Rhinolophus ferrumequinum: one gene and its partners. The protein of the gene in region 3 interacts with the protein of the main gene of each other region in a pairwise test. Links are inferred from orthologs where the notes say so. Each region holds a gene or a part of one and is shown on either strand. Other genes may lie near its edges.

Region 1 (7,641 bases), on a different chromosome or scaffold from region 3:
AAATCTAAAACTATCCTGAAATAAAAAATGTATTTAGATAAAAATTGACAAGAAAATGTTTGTGGATTTATATCAGTATTTGGCAGTCCCAATATATGTAAAAAGACATTTACAAAGATGAAATAGGTAAAATATCATTACAGATTAGCATTAACAGGTGAACATTTGGAACAATTTTGATGAGAGGGAACACTGACTGTGAGCCCCAATTAAACAAAATGTTAGACCCCCCCCAAAAAAAAGAATTCCATTATTCACACTAGTAATCCTGTATTAGGAAATAATTATCTACTGTTATTATATTTTGAATTTCATCAATAAACATTTGTTGAAATTTGTTTTCGCTCTTGTTATATAAAAAGCTACAAAGTATCCTGGATTTTGCCTTTTGGCCCACAAAGCCTATAATATTTACTATCTGGCTGTTTACAGAATGTTTGCCAAGCTCTGTTCTACACCACAAGATAAATGTAATCAGTCTCTTTCTTGGAGAGTATTCTTATCATTAGCTAGTTTTGGCATACTGTGCTTATGGATATGCCCTATAAAAAATAAGGAAGCCTCGCATCTCTTCTGCTACAGCACTATTTGGGATTTCCATAAATAAATACACTATTAGCTTAATAGTTCTAGCAAAGCTTCGATGTCATCGTTATTACCGCGATATTAAAGGGCCAACAGCATACCACAGTATCAAGATTACCCTCATCAAGTTGTGATGCCACCAGGCCATGGCCTCACCTAAGTCTCTTAGATATCAAGTGGCTCCTATGGCATCACACCCTGCCTTTGGCATCACCCTGGCACATCACCTTACTATGGTGTCATATGCTATCACTGCCATGACAGAATTCTGCCCGGATGCCTCTCCGCCGAGATGTCAGAATAATTAACCCCTACTTCTTTCCACTCCTGTGGCGGCGGCAGGGAGGGGGAGGGTAGCCACAGCCACCAGTACGAACTCGGGAGGTAATACTCAGCTCCTACTGTTGTCCCTTCCGCCTCCCACTGCAGGTCAGGGCCCCTGTGCGACAGGACCTTTAGGTTCTCATAACTCTCTCGCCATGACTCCGCACCCATTTCGCGTGGCCGACTCAATGCCCCACAATGACCACCCTCCCCGGTTCCACACGAAGCCGCTCCCAGTACCTGACTCCATTCTCCAGCTGTCATCCTGGGCCAATTCCACCGGCCACTTGACTACGGTGGCCGCGAGGGACCCTGGAACTTGTAGTTCCGCGCTGCTAGGGGCAGAGTCGGTGAGAGAGGCAAAGGCACCTCCCGGCACGGAACTGAGCTCAAACTGCAACTCCCAGAGGCGCCCTGCAAAGGAATGAGGAAAGTTGGTGATTGGTGCAGCTCTGTCGGCATTTTTGATTGGCAGTTGGAGCCGGCGACGTGAGGCGGTCCGCGGTCTCGCTGCCCCAAGATCCTGGGAAAGCGAAATGGAGGGTTCTGTGTCTAACCTAATGGTCTGCAATCTGGCCTACAGCGGGAAGCTGGAGGAGTTGAAGGAAAGGATCCTGGCGGATAAATCCCTGGCTACTAGAACTGACCAGGTAAAGCAGCGCTGAAGCCTCTCCGCAGGCGGCGGCGGCGGCGGCTACGTAGCCCAACGTGGCTGCCTGGCGCGGCCCAAGAAGAGACCGTTTCCCAGAGGCCAGATTCCCGCCCCCGCCGCCTCATCCGCACCCGGGATCGCGTCAGGACTCGGAAATGGACGGCAGGAGCTACCCCGCAAACCTCAAAAAAAAAAAAAAATGGTTTTGGCCCACTACTTAGCTCACTGAATTTTGGCTATGTGTAGAATGTGCCCTGCGTTTTTCACAAATGTCCAATCTTTGAGATACCCTGAAGAGGAGAGTATTTTTGTTTGTATTTTTGTTTGTTTTAATGGGTGTCTTTACTTTTACAAGTGATTTTATTCAGTGAAACACGTGTAAGAACGCCCCTCCTGTGCCAGGCAGTTTGCTAGGAGTTGGGGAGACAGCCGAGTGGAAGAAGCAGACATTAATAAAGTAACGCCAAATCATGTCCGATTACAAATTGCGGTTAACAAAAACTCGGGAGAGAAGTTTAAATGGTGCTTTTAGAACGAGGACCTGCTTTAATCTCCCTTAGAAAAGCCAGATGTGGCAATTGAAAAGGGTTTGCGGAGGAGCTTAGACCTTGCGGGATGAGCGGGACTTCCTTGGAGGATGAATGGGCATTATAGGCAGAGGCGGAACAAAAGTGAATGGACTTTGGGAAGTGTTTCTTTCTGTCGCCCGGCTCAAAGTACCCTCATGGCTTTCATCCCGAGTTTCTAGAAAGATTCCCGGTGCCCTTACTAAGCCAACAAATATTTATAGATTGCCTCCTGTTTGACAGGCACCACGTGCTAAGCGCTGGTGAGACATTGTCACATACTTAGAAATCTCCGTTTTGTGTCTTTGGGAAGAGAATTGGAAGTCAGGAGACTTTTTTCTGGAACTTTCCTTTATTGCTCAACCTGAAAATGGCGTTATCTTTGCCAAGTTTTTCTTCATTATGGTCGGGCAATATTTAGTACTTTAACTTAATTTAATAATGTTAAAGTAAAATTAAGTAATCTAACCATTCTTCATTAAGTCAATGGCATAAAAAAGGGGGAAGCTATTCAAGTTCAAAAGACTTAAAAAACATAACCAAATGCAACTTACGGACCTTGTATAGATCCTAACTGAAATAAGCCAACTGCCAAAAGACATTTGGGGGACACTTGGCAAAATCTGAATATAGACTGGGAATTAGATGTTAGGAAGGAGTTAGTGTTTATTTACTGTGTTTCCCCAAAAATAAGACCAGGTCTTATATTAATGTTTGCTCCAAAAGACGCATAAGGGCTTATGTTCAGGGGATGTCTTCCTGAAAAATCCTCCTAGGGTTTATTTTTCAGTTAGGTCTTCTTTTCGGGAAAACACGGTATTATTTAGTATTTTTTTTTTAGAGTTAGTGTTAATTTTAATAGTTGCAATAATGGTCCCTCTACTTTTATGTGTTTGAAATGTTTTGTAATACAATTTAAAATAATTTTCTTTTAAAGGTATATATAGATGATGTCAACTAGTTTTATTAACATTTCTTCCTCATGAGATGTATGTGTTCTTCCCAGAGCATCTAGAAATTTTAGAGTCAGACAGATGGGTTTGTGTCCCAGCTCCACCATTTACTAGCTGTGTGACCTTGGACAAATTGCTTACCCTGAGGAGTCTTAGTTTCCTCCTCTGTAAAATGAGGATAATCTCCACTGTACAGGATTGTGGGGATTAAGTGAGATGCATGTAAAACTCCAAGCACAGTGCCTGACATAAAAGCATGTATTAATGCAGTGGTAAGCAGCCAAAGCTCTATTTCTGCCAAAGCACTGAAATCAAGTTTCTTACTCTGCTGCTTTCATGGCTGTATTCTGCCCAGAATTGTCACATTCGTCCATGTATTTTCCCCATGTTACTAAAACCTTGGTCTCTCTTGTGTTAGTAATAATATGGTTTAAGGTTACCTACCTGAGGATCCAGTGCTTTCCATTTCTTGTTTCCAAACTACAGGTTTGCTGGCCCTAATATTATTTTGTTCCGCTTTCTTGCCTTAGTTCTTCTATTTCTCTTCAAAAATGTTGATCTTATTGCCACTCTCCCGTGTAGGACAGCAGGACTGCATTGCATTGGGCGTGCTCAGCCGGACATACAGAAATTGTTGAATTCTTGCTGCAACTTGGAGTGCCAGTGAATGATAAAGATGATGTGAGTACTAGGCAGAGTTAATAAATTTCCAGTTATCTTTAGACTCCAGACTGGTGTTTACTGAAACCTGAGTATTAAGCTCAACAGAATTGTAACCTTTATGTCTAGGAAGTTACAGTATGGCCCTGGTGACCAAGCATAGGACTAGTGGTTTCATTATTTTAAAATACTAGTTTTGCCACTCATACCCTGTAATTTAAGGTAAACATGCAGATCAAAGCTTATTACAATGACCTCTAAGAGACTACAGACCCTTTTTATTATGTTGGAAATTTTTTGGTGAATATTGCCTGAGTAATGAAGGCCTACATATCTTTTTTGTTATATAGAAATTTATTGTAATAGTATTGGTTTTATTAGGATAAGACTTGTGAAGAATAAGGATGAAAAATTTTTGGTAGGCAAAGATTCCTTTTCAAGGATGCTCACTGAAGTAATATTTATAATAGCAAAGAAATAAACACGATTTAATGTAGGAACAGTTGGACATAGTAGGTATATCCATATGATAAGATATTATGCAACCAATAAAGTCATGATTCCAAAGAATGACAGAAAAATTGACAACAAAATGATAAGTGGAAGTTGTAGAAAATGCAACTCACAGAGCTTTATATCCTCTGATCCTAGTTTGAAAACTCATTAGAATTAGACTTATGTATCATCATCTCTGTGGTATAGGATTATGAGTGGTTTTTCTTTTCTTTTGTATACATCTGCTTTCCAAATTTTCTGCAGTGCTTAATGAGGGGGAAAAAAAGGATGTTATTTTTTTTTTTAAATCATTCACACACTGTTCTTTGTAAACCCTACCTAAATGTTAGCATTAATCCCTGTGCCTTTTCCCCCTGGTTTTTGTACTGCGCACCTCTTTTACAGGCAGGTTGGTCTCCTCTTCATATCGCTGCTTCTGCTGGCCGGGATGAGATTGTAAAAGCCCTTCTGGGAAGAGGTGCTCAAGTGAATGCTGTCAATCAAAATGGCTGTACTCCCCTACATTATGCAGCTTCCAAAAACAGGCATGAGGTAGGGTTTTATTCCTAGGAGACTTCTTTTGAGTTCTAAACCTGGACACAAACACAAATAGAGCTCTGCATTGTTTTCTTCTCTGACTTTCCAGATCACTGTCATGTTACTGGAAGGCGGGGCTAATCCAGACGCTAAGGACCATTATGAAGCTACAGCATTGCACCGGGCGGCAGCCAAGGGTAACTTGAAGATGATTCATATCCTTCTGTACTACAAAGCATCCACAAACATCCAAGACAGTGAGGGTAACACTCCTCTGTAAGTGACAAGTAGTAGTCATTTGTATTCTACCTGGCATTAGCCCTCTTGCACTTATTGTTACACATCATTTCTTTTATTATTCTGTTTATAAATGTAATACATGTTTGTGGCACACACATTTGAAAGTACACAAAAGTATCAAGATAAAAATTAAAAATGCCTATCTTGCCACCCAGAAATAACCACTGACAACATTTTTAGGTATTTCCTCCCAGTCTTTTGTATGCAACTATGCGTATTTTACATTTTTTTTGGTAAAAATTGGATCATACTGTGCATATAGTTTTACATCCTGTTCTTTTCACTTCATAGCGTATCGTGAGCATTTTCCAATATTATTAAATATTTTTAAAACATTTTTGAATGGCTATGTACAATTCCATTTTATAGATGTTCCATAATTCAATCATTTCTGTATAACTATATTTTTAAAACACTACTGTAAATAATGCTACACTGACCAGCTTTGTACAAAAATTTTTGGCCATATTGCTGATTATTACCTTAGTTTATACTTCTAGAAGTAGAATTGCTGAGTCAACAAATACACACATTTTACGACTATTGCCATATATTGCCAGATTGCTTCCAGAGGAGTTATATCATTGTACCCTCCCAACAGCAATTTGAGAATGCCTGTTACCCTCTCACCAACACTGAAAATATCCTTTTGTTGTATGAAAAATGATATTTTATAGTTTTAATTTACATTTTTTATTATCAGGGAAGTTAAACATCTTTTAATGCCTACGACTAATTACATTTCTTTTCTAAATTGTAGCTTTTTGTGTCCCTTTCTATTTCCTTTTGGGGAGTTAATTTATTTTCACTGATTTTTTTTTTAAGTACCCTTGACCTGACATAGTAAAAATATTAACCTTCTGCCATGTTAGTTGAAAATATTTCCCCCGTTTCTCTTTTCGTGTTGTTCATGATTTTTTTAAATAGCAAGTTTTCAACTTCTGCATAGTCAAACCTATGAATCTTCCCTCATGACTAGAAAGTCTTTCCTCACCCTGAAATTAGTTAAATATTCACCTGTATTTTATTGCACCATGGGTTTTAGTTGAGAATTATTGTTACTGTTTTTCATTTAACTCAAATTCATTCAGAATTCTTTTACGTGTATGGCCTGAAGCCATCCTCTACCTTGATATTTTTTTCTACAGTACTTGGCCATTTTTCTTCCTTATTGAATGGTGGCTTTTTTGAACCAGAAATTCTGTGAGTCTTCTTTGTAGTCCAAAGTGAGATCCAACCTTTTCTAATTTGACTTTAAACTGACTTTTTGAAAACATTGTTTTCTTAACACTTAGTTTTAAAAATCTTTTCTGTAGTGTGAGTGACTCCGATTCGAAAGACTTACATATTGCCCGCTACTCCATAGCCAGAAACTCGGGATGGCCTGGCGAGATGTAGAAGTCAGGCAGTATAGGGCTCTGGGAAGAGCCTAGGATTTACAAACTCAGCCACTTACCACCTAGATTAAATACTTACATTAAGTAACTTGGAAAAATTACTTAACCTTCCTGAGTTAATTTCCTCATCTGTAATATAAGGATAATAATTCCTTCCTCGGTAGATTGTTGGGAGGTTGAAATAAAATAACATGTAAAGTGTCTAATAGCCTGGCTGACAAACTGTAAGTGCCTAACAAGGTTCCCTCCCTCAGTTATTGCTCAGCCATGTCGTCATAGGCACCTCTGTCACAAGATCAACTGTAAAATGATGATAATAATACCTTGCTAACTTTTAAGGTGGATATAGGGATCAGATGAGTTAAACTCCTTTAAACTGCTTTTCCAAAATATAAGTCATAAAAATTCCTATTAGCAGATTATGAACTGGTTGTGTTTTTTTGTTGTTGTTTTGTTTTTATTGTTGTTTTCTGAATTCTAACCCTGAATGATTCCATGTGTTTGGTGCAAATTACTTCTAATCTCAACAAAGTAAAGGATTTGTTTCTTAGGCTGGCATTTAGATCCCTCCTATTGCAGTAGGGCCAGAATTACGATTTATGATCTGATATTATAAGGCTATTTCACTGAATTTTAACTTATAAACACTCTTCCCCATGAAAATTGATTTTCCTTTCCTAATTAAATAACTTCCCAATATTACACTACCTGATAATATGCACTTTAGAGTACCTATCAGGAAATCCTAGCCATTACAGAGAATTAGTGATTTATGGGTCTTTGTGGTCCTCAATTGCAGACACTTAGCCTGTGACGAGGAGAGAGTGGAAGAAGCAAAACTGCTGGTGTCTCATGGAGCAAGTATTTACATTGAGAATAAAGAAGAAAAGACACCCCTGCAAGTAGCCAGAGGGGGTCTGGGTTTAGCACTCAAGAAAATGGTGGAAGGTTAAGAAGCTTGGCATTATTCTTACTTTGTATGTTTTGTGGCTGTCCCCAGTGTCCTGGAAACTAATGTACTTAAGCACAAGACATCATCTATGAATAATGACGTTTTTTTCACCTTCAAAGTCTTAGACATGTTTTGAATATTGTTCCTGCTGAGGTATTTGTTCTAAGCTTACAATCTGCTTTCCAGACACTGAATAACTGTTGAGATTGTTCTATTATTG
Region 2 (8,122 bases), on a different chromosome or scaffold from region 3:
AAGCCAGAAGCAGAGCAGCGGGAATGCAGAGAGGTGAGGCACAACCAGGAAAATGATTATGGGAAAATAGGTGCACACCGTGAGACTCACCGAGGAGATGCTGGTGTGGTTGGCCATCATGAGCCCGCTGACCCGGTGGGCAGAGGGCAGGTAGGGAGACTTCCTTGACAGGGCCACCTGGATGCTGGCTGGGCCCCAGGGGATGAAGTTGGCCAACTTCCGTTCCCGGATCCTCTGCAGGCTCTTGTGGACCTGGGGTGGGCAGAGGAGTGGTGGTGGTCGCCTCTCCTCTACCCCTGCAGGTTCCAGGGGTGGAATGAAGGGGCCTCACCTACCTGAGTGGGGTCCACCTCCCCCTGGATAATGTTGAGGATGGCAATGTAGCAGTGGTTGGTCTGGCGATCCCGGCCGGTGGACACCATCACATTCTTGGGCTGCAGCAGCCGCCTCATGACATCCAGGACCGTGGTCTTCCTCACGCTGGCCACCTGAGGCGAGAGTGGGCCACAGGGAGCAGGCTAGCACTGAGGGCACAGTGCAGGGACGCACGGACAGACGAGTAGGCGGCACGTGCCCCCACCAGACTTGGGGCAGTATGGTCTCTTTGGGGAGTGTCTTTGGATTCAGTTCTATACCGAGCCCCTGCTGTGGGATCAGGAATCTGAGCCCTCCTCAGCTCAGCAAACTCATGCCCCTGTGCAGGAGCACACGCAGACCCTGTACAGCCCAGGCCCTGCAGGAAGCCAAAGGCAGAGGGAGAGAGGAGAGCGAGTCAGCAAGGAAGTCGTACAGTCTGTGCCAGTGCCTGAGCGCAGAGCCTCTGGGGGCTGCACAGGGCAGGTCCTGGGGCAGCAGGGAGAAGAGAAAGGCTAGCTCAGGGCCTGCGGGCCCAGGGCCAGCCTGGCCTGGGACACTGAGGGCCCTTCTTACCGACTGGTCCGTGGTGAGGGGGGTGTAACCAGTCATGAGGAAGTGGAGCCGCGGTGTGGGAATGAGGGAGGCGATGAGGCCGATGAGGTCATTGTTCATGTAGCCCGGGTAGCGCAGGGTGGTGGTGCTGGCCGACATGATGGTAGACACCTGGGGACCGAGGTGCCATGTCATGCGTCTTGCCTGGGGTGGCCTCCCTTCCCCAGATGGCACTCTGAGCCAAAGGAGTCCAGGAGTGGGGCCTCACCAGCTGATTGATCTGGGAGAAGGATGGGTTCTGGATGTGCAGGCGATCTGTGGCGATCCGGTTCAGGGCTGTGTTGTCCAGCACCACCTGGGGGGACAGGAAGAGGTGGCAGATTTTTGGGAACATAAAGAACATGAGCTCTGCCTGAGCCAGGGCTCTGAAGCTCAATTTCCTCTGAGCCTCATAGCCAGAAAGACCGATCCAAAAGGGATTTGAATAGCACTGGGGCCTAGAAGATCTCAAAATGAAAGTTTTAAGTGTATGAAAATGGTGAAACAGACAAGGGTATGGTAGTAGGAAAAGGTAGAATCTAGGACTCACCACACAGTCTGCGTTCTGGGTCAGCCTTTTGAGTGTGAGCAACGAGTTGTAGGGCTGGACCACCACGTCGCTCATCTCGTCCTGGTTGGGAAACACTGAGTATGTCTGCACCAGCTTCTTAGGGTACCTGGTGGGGATTGGGAGAAGAGAGTCAGGGTGACAGACTGGATGCTTGATACACATAGGGCTTCCAATAACTGCCTGGAAGCAGCTGAATCTGGACGGGGAAATTGGTGCTGGGCCATGGGATCAGTAGAAAAGGGAGAGGTGACTTTTGGAAGTCTGTAAGTTTCCCAAAGGGCAGAGAGACATCTTAGGATCTAGGGTTCTAAATCCAAACTGTCCATCCTCGCTGACCCTTCATCTCTCCACCTAGGACCCAGATTGTAAGGTCTGGGTTCAAGCCGCGGGGGTGGCTAGGAAGGCCCTTTCCTGCTCCAGTGAATAACAAGGTATATCTGAAGGGACTCTCAGTTACTTGGGAAACCAAGTCCTCCCAGGCCCGTCAAAACTCAGACGTACCTGTCGTTCAGCCGTTCTAAGAGGTAGGAGCCCAGGCCAGAACCTGTTCCCCCAGCAATAGAGTGACACAGCACGAAGCCCTACATGGGAAAGGGGCAATCAGTGTCTAGGTTAATCTAGTGAAAGGATTTCAAACTGGACCCATCCCACAATTTCTCAGACCCCTATCTTCCACTTTCCTGCCCCCACACATAGAGCTTAGGAGCCTGCCTTATTTCCAGCAAGGTCCGGTGGCTTCTGTCCAGTGCAAAGGGTACATGGGTGGTCTTATACCTAACAGATGGCTTCTAAAGGGTAATGCTGAGCCTTCCCTATGTCGGTTCCCACAAGTAGTGCTGAGACACTCACCTCTAGACTGTCACTGCCATCTGCCTCCCGGTCTATGATGTCAAAAATGTCCTCATGGATCTTCTCTCCCTGTACAGATATGGGGAGGGTCAGAGTGGGACAGGACCATGGGACAAGGACTCTGAGCTCACAATAGCGACCCTCGATTCTCCTTATAGCAGCGAAAAGGGTTTTTTGGAGCACAGGGGCCCTGCTTTTTATTCTCATTGAGAGACAGTATGGTACAGTGGTTAGGAGCAGGCACTCTACATCCAGACCGCCTAGGTTCATACATCAGCTCTAGTTCTATTTAGCCGAGTGACTCTGGGCAGGTTACCTATTCTCTCTATACTTCAGTTTCCTCATCTCTATAATGAAGGTATTAATACAGGTCCGTATACCCTTATCCAAAATCCTTGGGGCTTATGGTTTGGAATTCAAATATTTCATATTCTAGAAAGGTAATATGATACATATAATGTATTTTAAGCAAAATGCCAGCAGGGTCTGAGGTGCCCTAACCGAATACATCAATATTTCTGCAAAGAAAGGTATGAGTAATGACAATAAATTGGATAGAAATTATAAAATAGCCTGTCTCAATAGATTTGGTTTTGCTGTTAAATCGTCTTTTGCTTTCAGTTTTTTGGATTTTGGAAAGGTAGATAAAAGTCTGTGAACCTGTAGTACTTCTAGGGTTGTTGGGAGGTTTAAGTAAGTTAATACATATTAAGTACTTAGTATGGCCTGTCACACAGCACTAGCTAGTGTAATGTCTTAAGAATATTACATAGTTGACTTAGAGAAAAGCACTTCCCTCAGTCATGTCTCTCTCCCTCTCCCACTCATACATCCTCTATCTAATTTCATCTCTCTCTAGGAAGTCACTGGGCCTGTTCCCACACAGGAAGGGCATTGCGGGTCTTGCCAGGGAATAGCAAACGACCTGGGAGAATCCGCTGGCCCAGTTGTTGCCAGCTCCTCCTCCATGCTCCGACAGGTAGATGTTCTCTGGGTTGTAGAGCTTGGCATAGGGAGAGTTGAGGATGGAGTGGATCACCCGGGGCTCCAGGTCCAGCAACACAGCCCTGGGGATGTAGTGCTCATCGTCCGCCTGTCAACGGGAGTCCAGGAGGGGGCCCACTCAGCTGAGGCCTGCCCAGTCCTCGGTCCTCCCCACTCTGGCTCCTGCCTGCCCTCCCGCCTCAAGCCAGCAGCCCTGGCTCCTTTGCCCAGCGGGGTTTCCCAAGGCCACTGCCCATCCTTTCAGGCCCCCTGGCCAAGTCGCTGGGAGCACCTGGTAGAAAAAGACGTCCTTGCGGTCAGTGCCCTCGGTGGCGAATTCCTCCACGATGCCCTCGGGGCTGATACCATGCTCAGCGCACAGTTGTTTCCAGAACTCGAACCCAACTGGAGGGGGGAGGCGGGCGGAGGAGAAAGAGGATATCTAGGTCTGGGCAGGTTCCAACTAGGAGCTGGGGGACTGAGCGCCCGGGTCCAGGGATAGGAAGTCAAGGCTCAGCAGACTCCCATGACAGAGGAAATAGCTGTATGCCAGCGATTGGGCAGGGAAGGGCTTTCGGGGTTGGACAACTGAACACTGGGTCAGGCATGTCCCGCGTTTTGGAGAACTACGATTCTGGAAAGGGCAAATGGGAGTCCAGTATCCCACAGCAAGACCCCATTGAATCTAAGGAACCTGACTAGCGGAGGGGCCGGAGGTTCGCTCACTCTGATTGCCGCACTGGCCCAACTGTAGGGTGATGATTTCCCTCGGCATCGCTCTTCAGGCACCGGCGTTGCAGTCACTCCTGCTAGCAAAGCCTCCGTGCGCCAGCCCGCCTGCCGCACGACGCAGGCGCCAAACAACCCGCTCCGCCCACGAACTTTCTCCGCTCCAATGAGAAGTGAGTTCTGGCGATGGCACTTTCTTATTCATTTGGCTTCACTAGTACCGACTGCGCGTGCGCGGCACCGGATCGGGCTCGGAGCTGGTGAGAGGGGAGCATGGTTTGACGTAGCGTTCTGTCTGGGTGGAAGCCAACTAGAACCCAAGCGCAGGCGCAGTGTGGAGGGAAGCGGCCTTCCCCGGCCAAATCGCGCATCTGCGCAGTCGGTGTTATTGTGACTGTCGGGCCGCGGCCCCGGATGTGGTGGCTGAAGGTGGGAGATGGCGGAGGCAGAGGGGGTGGCTGGAGCGCCAGGCCCAGTTTCGGGGCCGACTTTCAGGGGCCGCGGCGCTATGTCGGGCTCCTTGGAGCGGGACCAGCAGGTTGAGGCGGCGCAGCGGGCCCTGGTGGAGGTGCTGGGGCCTTACGAGCCTCTGTTGAGCCGGGTGCAGGCAGCCCTGGTGTGGGAGCGGCCAGCCAGGAGCGCCCTGTGGTGCCTGGGGCTGAACGCGGCTTTCTGGTGAGAAACTGGACCCTCAGAACCCCTCCGCGGAGCGAATTCGTCAGGTTTCTTTAGGGCACTACCTCTCGCCTCACCTGTTTTCTTCGCTGCACTGGCTCCTTCCTATCTAATTTTGCCTCACTTCCACTTCATCCCGCCTGCAGGCTTTGGCATCGCAGTTCTCCGTAGGGCCTTCCAATTGTCTTCCCTCCTTTACCTGCTCCCGCACCCTCGCCCCGCACATCTGGATCTGGCAGGAGCATCTAGTAACGCCTTGAGCCGTCCGCGGTGAACGAGGGCGCCTCATTTTATCCAGGGAAAGCTGGGTCCCTTTAGGGCCATCACCTCCCTTCTCTTGTCTGCTCAAATGTGGTTTGAAGACTGTCTCTAGAGAGTTTAGTAGTTGTTACTGGGGTAGATGCGTGAGGCGTGAGGTCTTGGAATGGTATCCATGGGTGTGATAAGAAAACAAGGTCGATTGGTCTGAATTAGAATTAGCCCATTCACGGAAGTTTGTGAAGTCTGAACGTCAATGAGAGGCTCCAAAACTGCAACTTGAAAGTGGTAAGCTTTTAAAGAACAGTTGTGAAATAGTGATTGTGAGATTTCACCCGGTTGAAAACCCCTTAGAATTGCAACTCTCCTTGTTCCAAGGAATTGGTGAGAGGAGGCATCCTTAGCCGTGGCAGTTGAGGATGTCTCACAGTGCGTGTGAGTTTTCCTGAGCTGGGAGTGGGACTGTAAATATATTTTGAGACTCTGTATGTTTCATGCTCTGTGAAATGGAACTGTGGCTTCTCTCAGTTGTCATTACCTAAAGTGGACTTCGGTCTTCACAGGATCTGCCAAGCAGATCGAGGGAAAGATTATTGATCAAATTCCCAGGGAACTGACGTGTAGGGGTGGGGGTGCCTCTCCAGCTGAATGAAATAAGACTATTCTGGATAAAGCTGAAACAGAACAGTGTGTATCCAGCAATTTTTGGTTCTGCTAAAAATACTTTCCTCTTAAAATTCTTGGTTTTAAAATCAAAACGTAAACAAACAAACAAACAAACAAACAAACAAACAAAAAAACGTTTAGTATCCTTTCTCTGAAAGAAGGTTTGTCAGTCAGCTGGAGCAAAACAAATAATTCCACGTTCGTGATCAGACAGTGTTCAGCTATTAGGTTAATCCTCTCACAGTTTGAAGGAGACTCAAGTTAAAGTTGTCACAGTAGCCTCTGCCATTTGTTGCTTCCAGAGTCTTTAGCAAGCTTGATAATAAACTTTTTTTTTTTTTAACAGCATTCTTCTTCTTCTTTTGTTTTTTGTTGGTAGTGCTTCCTTGATCCCCAGTTCCTTAACTTCTCTCCTGTTGCTCCCTGTCAGGAACTCTGAAGTGTAGCACCTCATCCAGGAATGTTGACCAGAATGACCTTTTCTTCTCCTACCGCCTCCCCATCCTAACCCCTAACCCCAGACCATCCTGTCAAAACTTCATTCCCTACATTGGGATTGTACTCCGAGGAAAAAAAATTGGTCCTCAATAAACCAGTTTGTATCAAAGTGTGACTGGCTGATACATGAAAACTTTATCCGGATTGAAATAAACACCAAGGGTTTATTAATGCCGATGGATCAGTTGCATGTATGTTGTTATTTCTGGGACGGGGACTTTGCACATATCCCTTGCCTGAGAGAGATGTTTGAAGTGGAATGCAGGTGAAGGTCTACACGTAAGGAGCTGTTGTTCTGACGGAGCTACACCTTTCAGTGTTACAGTGTTAGCTTTAATGTTCAGGCCCGCAACAGTGTTTACGTAAGTTTATTAATAGGCCGTATTTGGAAGCTCCCTCAGATCCCCTTTTCCTACTCCTGGTCTCTTATTAAAGCATTGTGATGGGTCTTTATCTCTGGCGTTTCCTGGTAGCTTGCCTGCTGTGTCTCCAGAACAGTGCCTCTCGTGATTCCCATCATACGCTAAGTAGGTGGGGGAGAGAGAGAGCGAAATGAGGGTGTGACTCCTGAGATTGAAAGGGCAAAGGAGTGTGCCATTTATGGAGAAGACTCATACCTGTGAAGGGTACAGAATGACTGACAGTCCGGAGGCTGAGGGAGTTTGGCGCTGGAGTTCACAGGATTGTTTGTTTTCGGGAATGTGCTTTCTGGGAAGGTAGTTTGAGGCGCAGAATGAAAGACTTCACATTGCAGTAGCGTTATATTGAAGATGGGTGTCTGTTTACGTTTCAATTCGGAATGTCAAAGAGTGACAGTTTAATTCTTGGACATTTGAAGTGTTTAGGAAATGAAAGAGAAGAATTGGCTCAGGTCAGAGGAATCAATTCTGAAATATTTTTCTTTTATTATTGTTTTGAATAATAATATATCACTAACTGAGGTGTTTTATTCATTTTGAGGTATTATAAGATTGGGTAGGAGTAGAGAAAATCAGAATTCAGGTAGTCACTTTCACTGTTCTGTATTATCAGTGAAGGTTTTTCTGTACCTGTGAATGTGCCCTCTTAATAGAAACAACAACATCATAAAGGTAGAGATAGATGTAGATACCTCGCTACTATAGTATTTCAAGGCCTTCACTCTTGTTTTTTTTTTTCCCCCAAGTTCCAGAGAAATGGTGATCATATCAGAGATCTGCCAGCTTATATTGCTCCTGGTCACTGATATGTTATTATCTCTAGCATAATAACAGACATGTCAGGCCCCCCTCTCCAATTGCTTGTTTTTTCATTAACCTCAACACCCCCTATAAATGAGTGATTTGGGGGAAGAATATCTGAGTCAGCAAGCGTGTATCGTGACAGGGTCAGAAAAGAAGAACATGTTCGAGTAACATTTTAGTTTAACTCAGACCTTGGAGATAAGGGGAGAACAACAGCGCCCTGGAAATGGGTGTGAAATCCAAGCACCGCTTCTGTGAAGAGCACATAGTTCCAGGAGGGCTCGATGACTGCTGAGCTCCTTTCCAGTTCTCTCTCTCTCTCTCTCTCTCTCTCTCTCTCTCTCTCTTTCTGTTTTGTTTTTTTTTTAATTAAATTCATTGCCTTTTCTGTTTTGAACATTCTATGATTCTAGGTGGTCTTTAAATTCAGATATTGATTTAGAGCAATCCACAGGCCGATTTTTTTATTGGGATCTGCTTTTATAGACACTGGTCTGAGTTAACCATACTGTATTCTCAGGGGCATTATGAAACCTATTGTTTTCACAATTGAAAAAAACCAGAGTGTTTCCTCTCCCCCCGTCAACTCCCCAAATAAAACAATGACCCAAGAAGTGATTAAAGATATATAGAAATTCTGATTTAAGAGGTTAGAATTTGAGTGAAAAACAATAGTGGGGAACAGGAGATGGAAGGGAGAGCCCATTTAAGTAGAGACATT
Region 3 (8,256 bases):
TTTTAGTTTAGAAAATATCGTCATCCTAGATAGAAGATATGGGAAGGACAGAAAAGTTAAAGAAGCAGAAATAAACAGTGGCCAAGTATCCCTAGTAGTGGTGTAATCTTCCTTCAAGAGGATATTTGACCTGCCTGAGCTTCAGCACTCCAATGAGTAAAAGGAAGATGATAACTTTCCAACATGTTTTACAAAGTCATGGTACTGAAACGGTGAACTTGAGTAATCCATAAAATTTTATGTGAAAATGCTTTGTAAATTATACAGAACTATCTAAATATAAGGATTGGTTTAGAGCAAGGGGGGGGGTTGAAGCTTTTAAATGTAAGGAGACAGATTAAAGGAGTGAAAAACTTATCTTGTGTTTACAGAAGGAAAAAAATCCTATTCTAGAACACCAGAGGAACCGTGATCACACTTAAAATTAAAAACTTGAGTAGTGATATAGGAATCAAAAATTCAAAAGAAAAAGTAGGAAGAGATGAGTGAAGGCCCGACAATGAGGATGAACAGGAGGTAGGAGGTTATAAAACCAAAGGCAAACAGGACACATAGCACTGTGTCTAGCAGGAGCTCTGAGACCTGGCAGCTCCAGCTCCAATCAAGAGATGGAAACCACAAGAAGCTAGCAGAAAGAGGGCAATAAAGCTAGCCAACCGCAAAGAAAATATCAGCAGGGGAGGAGGGACTTGGAGGGGAACAGGAAGAGGAGGAGTAATCATTTAGGCCCTGGTTTACCAGAAAATATTTCGGTTTTCAGGAATCCCAGCTCTACTCCACAGTGGGCCCTGGGTTAGCTGCTTTTCCTGTCTGCTTCTCTGTTTTTCTGCAAAATGAAATGTGGCTAATACTCCTTAGGGCTGTTCCTGAATTAAAAAATATATATATACAATCTGTTCCTAACAGTTTCCTGCTATGTTGCAGGTTTTCAATACACTGTAGCTATTAAGATCATTGCAAGAGCCCATGAAACCCTCCTCTCCCAAGGCACATGCACACATAGTCAGGTATGGCAGCTCTAGAGATATTGTTGGGGTTAAGCTTGAGTTATGTGAACAGTCAGGGTATGTGATTGCTGTACCACCAATGGTCCAGCTGAAAGGGGCTTTGAAAATCATTTACTCTAACCCTCTTTTTTTGTAAACAGGACACTTTAGCACAGCAAGATTAAGGGTTGTGCCTGGAACTGGAATCAAATCTCAGAACTCAAGACAGCAGAGCTCTTCCTCCTGCGTCACAACTAGAAAGAAGGTCATAGGCTGAGTACCTAAGGAGCAGTTGGAAGGCTTATCACTGGTTAAAAGATAACTGGAGGGACCAGGAGAACTGACTGATGGTCCTAATAGCTTACAAATTAAACAGTTTTGTAAAACATTTAACTCCAAATTATGAGCAGCAAAACAACAGTGGGGGTGGGGTGATGAGCAGAAATATTCTGGGTGAAAGCATGTAAATGATTGAAATGGGAAGGGTTTGGTTTTAAGGAAACCCATGGGAATTTCACCTCAATTTGGGAACTGGTACATTTCAGAGTTTGTAACTTACACAGAGCTACTGGAACAGAGCCTCATACTGCTCTGTGAACTCTTAAGGGAAACAAGAGTTCTTTTCTCTATTTCCAATACCTAAGACTGTGAGGTACACAGTGCACCCTTAATTCTGTCTAATAGAACTGCATTAGAATGCTAATAGAAATAGCAAACCAGCTGCAATCTGGGGTCTGCCACAGAAGAGCCATGTGAAAATTTTAGGAAATCACTTCTCTGTGCTTCAGTCTTCATCTGTAGGATGGGCATTATAATGGTGTGAGGATTAAGTGAATGACTATAGACACAGTATTCAGAATACGCCCAGGCACATGGTAAACTATCAATAAAAGTTACTTGTCACTTCTAAATGTTATTATAATAGAGTATCACCAGAATTGGGAGAAAATTTTATAGTTGTCATTCAAGGTCCAGGGACCAGGGAGGGAAGGATTAGGGAAGGATCTCTTTTGTGTGCAACTCCCAGGGAATGAATGAAACCAGCCCTCAAGTCTCCTCTTCCTTATAGGAAAAGGACGGCAAGGGGTTTATACCGCTGGCCTAAAGCCCAGGCTTCTTCTGGTAGCTGTGAGACCATGACAGATTAAGGATTGGAGAGGAGGCCCAAAGAGTACCTGCGGGTCAAAAAAGCAAATCAGATCATCGCAATTCCTTCACCTGTAAATTATTTGTAACATTTATCTTAATGACCCTGTCTGAAGATAAAGAGCACAATCTTAAAAGTCTCCGCTCCTCCATTTCCAAAATTCAACGGTTGTTCCCTCTACCACACTTAAGTCGTCTGCCTTCCAATCCGGCTGCGCAGCCCACAGGAGAGAAAAACCAGGCAAGTGGCGGGGGAGGGGTGATGGGAAAAACGCCCGGATGCAGAAAGATACCTTAATATTTCTCCTCTGTTCCTCCTCGCTGCCTACACGAGATTTAATTACATAAACCAGGGTTCAAAACGGAGAGAAAAAGGCCTTAGTCCTTCTTGATTGTGCCCAGCTACAATCTAATCAGATAGGTACCGGGGAAGGCTGGCTGCCCCCGTACATGTCGCCGGAGCCAAGAATGATGAGGCAACCCGGCTGTTGCGCAGAGAACGTGACCTTGTTTTCTGGGCCAGTCCTGTCTTGTGGCAGCCCCCTGCCCCCCAACTCCCAGTCCTCACAGTATAAAAGGATTCCCTGGCTTCCCAGCCTTTCCCTCCCAAAGCCAATGCTACGAGGACTGAAGTCAACTTGATTAAGGGAGAAACAGAAATCTATGGGAGCAATCCCCACGGCATCAATTATTCCCAGAAAACTTCCCTGCGATCTCAAAGGCAGCAAATGTGTGGTCCTGACCGAATCATTCTCGCACAGAAGGGCCACATTTTGAGCACATCACAACCTAAATAGCCTCTGAATACTGCTGAGTCACTCAAACGTAGGCTCCGCTCAAAGGAAGCGGTCAGCTCTAAAGATGGGTATGGGCCCCGGGGATACAGGTTTTAAAAGGTCCGCAGTCAGAACGTCCATTCCATTGGCTCTCCTCGCAGTGAAGGCCATTCAGGGGTAAGTAATTTTAGGGACCAGCGTTCTTCAGTGCCTTAGGGCAGCCATCACGACTCTCCCGCCCCCCGATATTCCCTTCTCCTCCCCCTTCCCGCTCCCCTTGCACTCACAGGGACCCTATCAGGATATTTCTTCCGGATCTTTTCTCCTTCCTTTTTCCGATACTCAAATGGATGGTCCTCCTTATACTGGAACTTCATGATGAACCGCAGGGTTTCTAAGATCCCCGGACGGGGCCTGCCTTCCTCGCTGATGATTGCGTCTCTTGGGTCTTATTCCCTCCGCCAAATTTCAATGTGTCGGAATCGCTTCAGAAATGGCAGCTCCTGTCGCAACGCAGCTTGGTAGAGCTTCTGAAGGGATCTCGGGTGCCCTAGCCTGCAAGTAGGAGATGGCCAGGTAAAGAATTCCCGGTGGCTTTTCCCGAGAGCTGGCAACACAATAACAACACGGCGGCGCGTTGGTATTGTGACGTCACGGCGCCCCGCCCTTCATCCCGCCCCCAGCGCTCTGGACCGCGCGAGTTGGGGGTGGACAGACACTGTCGGTTTCAGTGTATTCTTCTTCTATCGAAACTTTACCTGAACAGAGTTCTCATGCAAATGAGAACAGTTTTTACTTCTTATTTTATTGATAATGTGGCATTAAAGGTGGTTTTAAAACAAAACATTTTCTAAAGATGTCTTTTTCCCTCTCCCTCGCTGTTTCTTGGTTGGATCCAAAAACAAACACACTGGAAGAAAATCCAGCTTTTTCCAGCTTGTTAGGATCTGAAGTCTGGGGGAAGGAGGGATCAGGGTCCTGGAGTTTATTTGGCCAGTGCAGACGTGCCAGGCACTTGCATTTTGCCCTTTGCTCCTTCATTTGCCACCTCCAGGAACCTCGGGAGCTAGGCTGGCTTCCTCTGACCGTGACCCTTCCTTCACCACGTTCGCGTCATTTTGTTTGGGTCCATGCCGCAGTTGCAATTTGTTCCTGGAGCAGGAACGTAAACAAAACGTGACTCAGGAATTTGAAAAGACACATTAGGTAAAGGACATCAGATGTAATCAAGGTCCAGAGAAGTGGTGTCAGTCTTAACTACTAAGGGCTTCACGCCTTTTCAAATATAGAAATGATTCATTTTCTCCTATTAACGCAGAAGTTGGGCCTATCTGATGGAAAAGAAAATATCAAGTGATCTAAGTGATTAACTCAGTGGTTCTCAAACATTCTTTTCTCTTATGCAAAAATTCACCTGAAGGTTAGTACTGGTTAAGTATCCCTAATGTGAATAGAAAGTGCCACCTGAAAAGGGGGAGTGGAGGACTCTGGGTGGTGGGCCAGGTGCCAGTATCACCTCTCTCTGGCCCTCCCCTTTCTCCAACAAGAATCAAAAGGACTAAGGCCTTTCCAACCACTGTTCCTGGCAGTGATTCCAGGAACCTATGGTGGGGGACAGAGGAAATTGTGAAAGATAAGGGTGAGGACAGGCTGGTCTGCCCAAAACAAGGGAGCTCTGCTAACTATTAATATATTAGAAAATGGCAGCCCCTATCTACTTTTGTCAAGGTCTCAGTGTCTCTGATTTAAAAAACAAATCCACAAAAGAAACTGAGTTTCATTATTGAAACGAGAATGAATTACATAGCCCTACTTCTTGATGTTAATTTTTTTTCTCCATGGTATCTTTCAGTCCTTTTTATGTGTGAAAATCCAGGAATTATTTTATCACATTATATTTTTATAATTTTTATTCCTTATTTTCAAATTGAAATTTTCAGCTTATTTTAGCTTCGGTTCAAATAGAGCTAAATGTCTCAAAGGAGAACCTTACAACCAGTTGAGAAAAGTAATTACGATGAAGATTAATATTTTAAGACTATTATTCTATGATCAAATCTACTGGAAACAATCGTAGCTAGTTAAAAATACTGATTTTAACTTTTAAAAATACCTAAGCACAGTGGCAATTTATATATGAAAAATAATTTGGAGATGGAATTTCGATTAATCTTTCTGCCTCAAGGCTTTTCTAAATGCTAATGCTTTATTGTAGAATACACAATCTGTGAACTTCCAAAGTTTGCTCTCTGCCTGTATTCTCAGCATAACATTTAATATATTACACAAAATGTAATATTCTCTTAGTTCATATGTGAGAAATTTTAAGGAAAGATTCTGATTAGTCTTTTATAAGTCACCTGGCCTTCTTAATGGTCAAGGCAGTGAGAATCTATGATTTGTGGGTCCCACTAGAACTACGCAGTGGTTAGTGTGGGAGGAGTAGCTTCCTACAAAGCAATGTATACCTCCGCCGCCAAAAAAAAAAAAAAGAGAGAAGGAATGGACATGGTATTATCTAATGAACAATACATCATTTATGTGTCCTGTGACAAAAATAAGCACACAATGCTTTCAGAGCACATTGTAAAGACACAGAGGGACCCAGGCAAATGGGGGTTAAAAGAAAGGCTTCCTGAAGAAGGCGATGCCTGAACTAAGCTCCAAATGATTTACAGGAATTAGGCCAAAAAAAAGAAAAAAAAATAGGAGAAAATGTTTTTACAGGAAGATCATTTGACGATATCCAATGACCATAAATAAGGGCAATATAGGGAAAGAAGTAATTTAAATAATTTAGTATGCCTGGAACATAGACTACAAAATACGAAATGGCTATATATGAGGCTAGAGAAATAAGTCCCTTTTTTAATTATGGCGTTTTGATGATGTACGATCAGAGGCTTACAGTAGCCACTGTATTCATTTCATAAAATCTAAATTTGCAGTCTAAATGCACCAGTCCAACATAAGAAAGATAAAGAAGATGTCAGTCAGAGACTCATGATGTATAGATAGGGATAGAGATAAATGTAAAGATAGAGTTGGAGGGAGAACTAATGGCATTTAAGTCCCTAGTTTCAGGTAGTCTCTGTGCTATTTGGTAACATGTTACTTGTATTTATATCCTCAATGCTTTGGATACAAAATGAAGACTCAAAAAGTGCATAGTATGTCTATGGGGACAGAGCCAGGAGCGCAGTTTCCAGGCTCTCACCCTCACGTGGAAAGGTGCTCACTGGGGTAGTAAATGGCCATCAACTGTGATGGGATGGCCATCAGCTGTGGCTAGTTGGCCGTCAGCTGTAACCAGTGAGCCATTGGCCACTAATATAACTGCTGTGGCTACGCTAACAGAAAATGGGGGCTGGCAAGAAGGTGGTGGCTAAGCTAGCAAGAGCAGATTGCAGTTAGCACAGCAGAGTGTGGATTGCGGATTGCAGAGAGGCGGATTGCAGTTAGCAAGTGAGGTTGGTTGGCAGAAACAAGTGGACGGCGGGTTGCAGATCGTGTGGCTCCTGCTTCCTGTGTCTCCAACCCAGGCGCCAGTGAGACTATAGCGGTATGACTCTCCTATCTATGGCTCCGTGGGTGTTCCTTTTTGGCCTCACCATATCCTGCATTCTTATGTGGGGAGCGGGAGCTGAGACCCTGCATGACACCGTGCATGACAATGTCATAGTCAAGAAAGCAAAGGGTAGACTACTGATTTAAGATGGTGGATTGAAAAAGATATAGTTTTCTTTGTTGTCTCCTGAAAATCCACTAAATCAACTGTGTCATAGGTTCAATTATGTCCCCTGAAGAAATGTTGAAGTCTCAACACCCAGTATCTATAAATGTGACTTTACAAATAGGGTCTTTGCAGATAATCAAAAGATGAGGTCATTAGGGTAGGCCTTAATCCAGTATAATTGGTGGCCTTCTAAAAAGGAGAGCATTTCGACAAAGAGAAAGACATGCAAAAAGGAAAGAGGATTTAATATACATGCTTTATGTATAGTATGTGTATATGCATTAACCCCTGTAATCCACACATAATAATATAATGTATATGTACTCATTTTATCATTTTACAACTTAAGAATTTGAAGCATAGAATGATTAAGTGACTACACCATGATTGGACAAGGAGTAAGGAAAAAGCCCAAAAGCCTGGTTTTAGCCTCTTATTCAATAATAGTCTTTTTGCCACGACCCATTATACTCATCTAATTAAAATTACGATATAACTATGCTTAGAAGATAGGAGGCACAAGAAATGTTCAGATGTGTCATGGTAGCAAAGGTAGGGATCATGGTAACGAAAAGGGGTAAATTTTATTTCTTCTATAACGGCAAGTTGATAGATGATGCACCAAACTGAACATAAAAATCAAGAATAGCAATATATGCATAGTATTTGTTGAAATGTAGATTTTACAAAGTCAGCTGAAAAAGTAGGGCGTATGCGTACATGTACGGGGGTAGTGGGAAGGTGCTATTTTTCTTCACAATCCTTATAGAGCTCTTTGACTTTTTAATCTTCATAAATGCATACATTTAATTCAAATAATAAAATTAAATTTAAAAATAAGAGCAAAAGTTTTTTCCATTTGGTATTTCAAGCCTGAGGAAGTTGAGTATAAAACCAACTCAGACATTCAGATCCCTGCAAGTTACATCACTTCCTGCAATTCAGCCTCCAAAGCTGACAAAAGGGAACACACAGTTTGGAGAAGTAAATGGTGCTCTGCAGGCATTCAAATGGCTATGTTTACTTACTATTTACTTGGCTTTTGATGAACTTTTGTCCCCTTTGAATTGACTGTGTATTCATCCACTTTGGTATTTACTGAGTGTGGATTTACAACTTTTTTGAGAAAGGGAGCGAGTAGTACTCAACTTTCCCACCTATAGTAATTAGTATTAACATCATATGGGAGAGCAGGTTCTATGTAGTGCAAGAGGGGAGTATAAGAGAGAGCCGGCGTAGGCAAGTTTGATATACAAACTGGTACTCAAGAAACATCTAGAGACTTGGAACATTGATATCATTTGTCAAACAAGGATAGTAATAGCCAAAGGGCAATTTAAACAGTTAAAGAATGACTATCATGAAGCTGAAATAAAGAGGTGTAAATTGAGCCTGCCTTATTTCTAGCTTTGCCTATAACTAAGCATTTATGAAAGAAATTGAAAAAGTACTTGTGTTCTCTGTGGAATAGTTCAGTAGCCATAATGGTCTCAACTCTCTTCTACATTTCACTTCTCGTATTCATCCTCTAGAGATAGCCAAAGCATCATATAAGTTACATGATCTCTTTCCCTCTTCAAAAACTTATGATGGCTTTCATAGAATGTAGGAT

What was found. The genes of interacting proteins can lie anywhere in the genome.
Region 1: the proteins of GABARAPL1 (region 3) and ATG4A interact in binary tests that used the Homo sapiens proteins (3 or more experiments, as listed by UniProt). The two-hybrid records come from large-scale screens. The link is inferred for Rhinolophus ferrumequinum from reciprocal best matches to the Homo sapiens genes GABARAPL1 and ATG4A.
Region 2: the proteins of GABARAPL1 (region 3) and RETREG3 interact in binary tests that used the Homo sapiens proteins (3 or more experiments, as listed by UniProt). The link is inferred for Rhinolophus ferrumequinum from reciprocal best matches to the Homo sapiens genes GABARAPL1 and RETREG3.

What each region holds. Positions count from the first base shown.
Region 1 is NC_046284.1:46,492,104-46,499,744, forward strand, and holds the start of ATG4A (cysteine protease ATG4A), read right to left. Parts: upstream 3,663-7,641; 5' UTR 3,547-3,662; coding exon 3,525-3,546; intron 1,659-3,524; exon of another isoform or gene 1,560-1,658; coding exon of another isoform or gene 1,446-1,559; exon of another isoform or gene 1,389-1,445; intron 1,324-1,388; coding exon 1,150-1,323; intron 1-1,149. Other genes in the region: PSMD10 (26S proteasome non-ATPase regulatory subunit 10), read left to right, coding at 1,446-1,559, 3,663-3,761, 4,641-4,787, 4,882-5,048, 7,269-7,422. UniProt on the Homo sapiens protein: Cysteine protease that plays a key role in autophagy by mediating both proteolytic activation and delipidation of ATG8 family proteins.
Region 2 is NC_046304.1:38,318,974-38,327,095, reverse strand, and holds the start of RETREG3 (reticulophagy regulator 3), read left to right. Parts: upstream 1-4,460; 5' UTR 4,461-4,517; coding exon 4,518-4,756; intron 4,757-8,122. Other genes in the region: TUBG1 (tubulin gamma-1 chain), read right to left, coding at 91-252, 336-488, 931-1,080, 1,178-1,264, 1,499-1,625, 2,021-2,100, 2,369-2,437, 3,294-3,461 and 2 more. UniProt on the Homo sapiens protein: Endoplasmic reticulum (ER)-anchored autophagy regulator which exists in an inactive state under basal conditions but is activated following cellular stress.
Region 3 is NC_046293.1:25,901,652-25,909,907, reverse strand, and holds the start of GABARAPL1 (gamma-aminobutyric acid receptor-associated protein-like 1), read right to left. Parts: upstream 3,558-8,256; 5' UTR 3,286-3,557; coding exon 3,196-3,285; intron 1-3,195. UniProt on the Homo sapiens protein: Ubiquitin-like modifier that increases cell-surface expression of kappa-type opioid receptor through facilitating anterograde intracellular trafficking of the receptor. Involved in formation of autophagosomal vacuoles.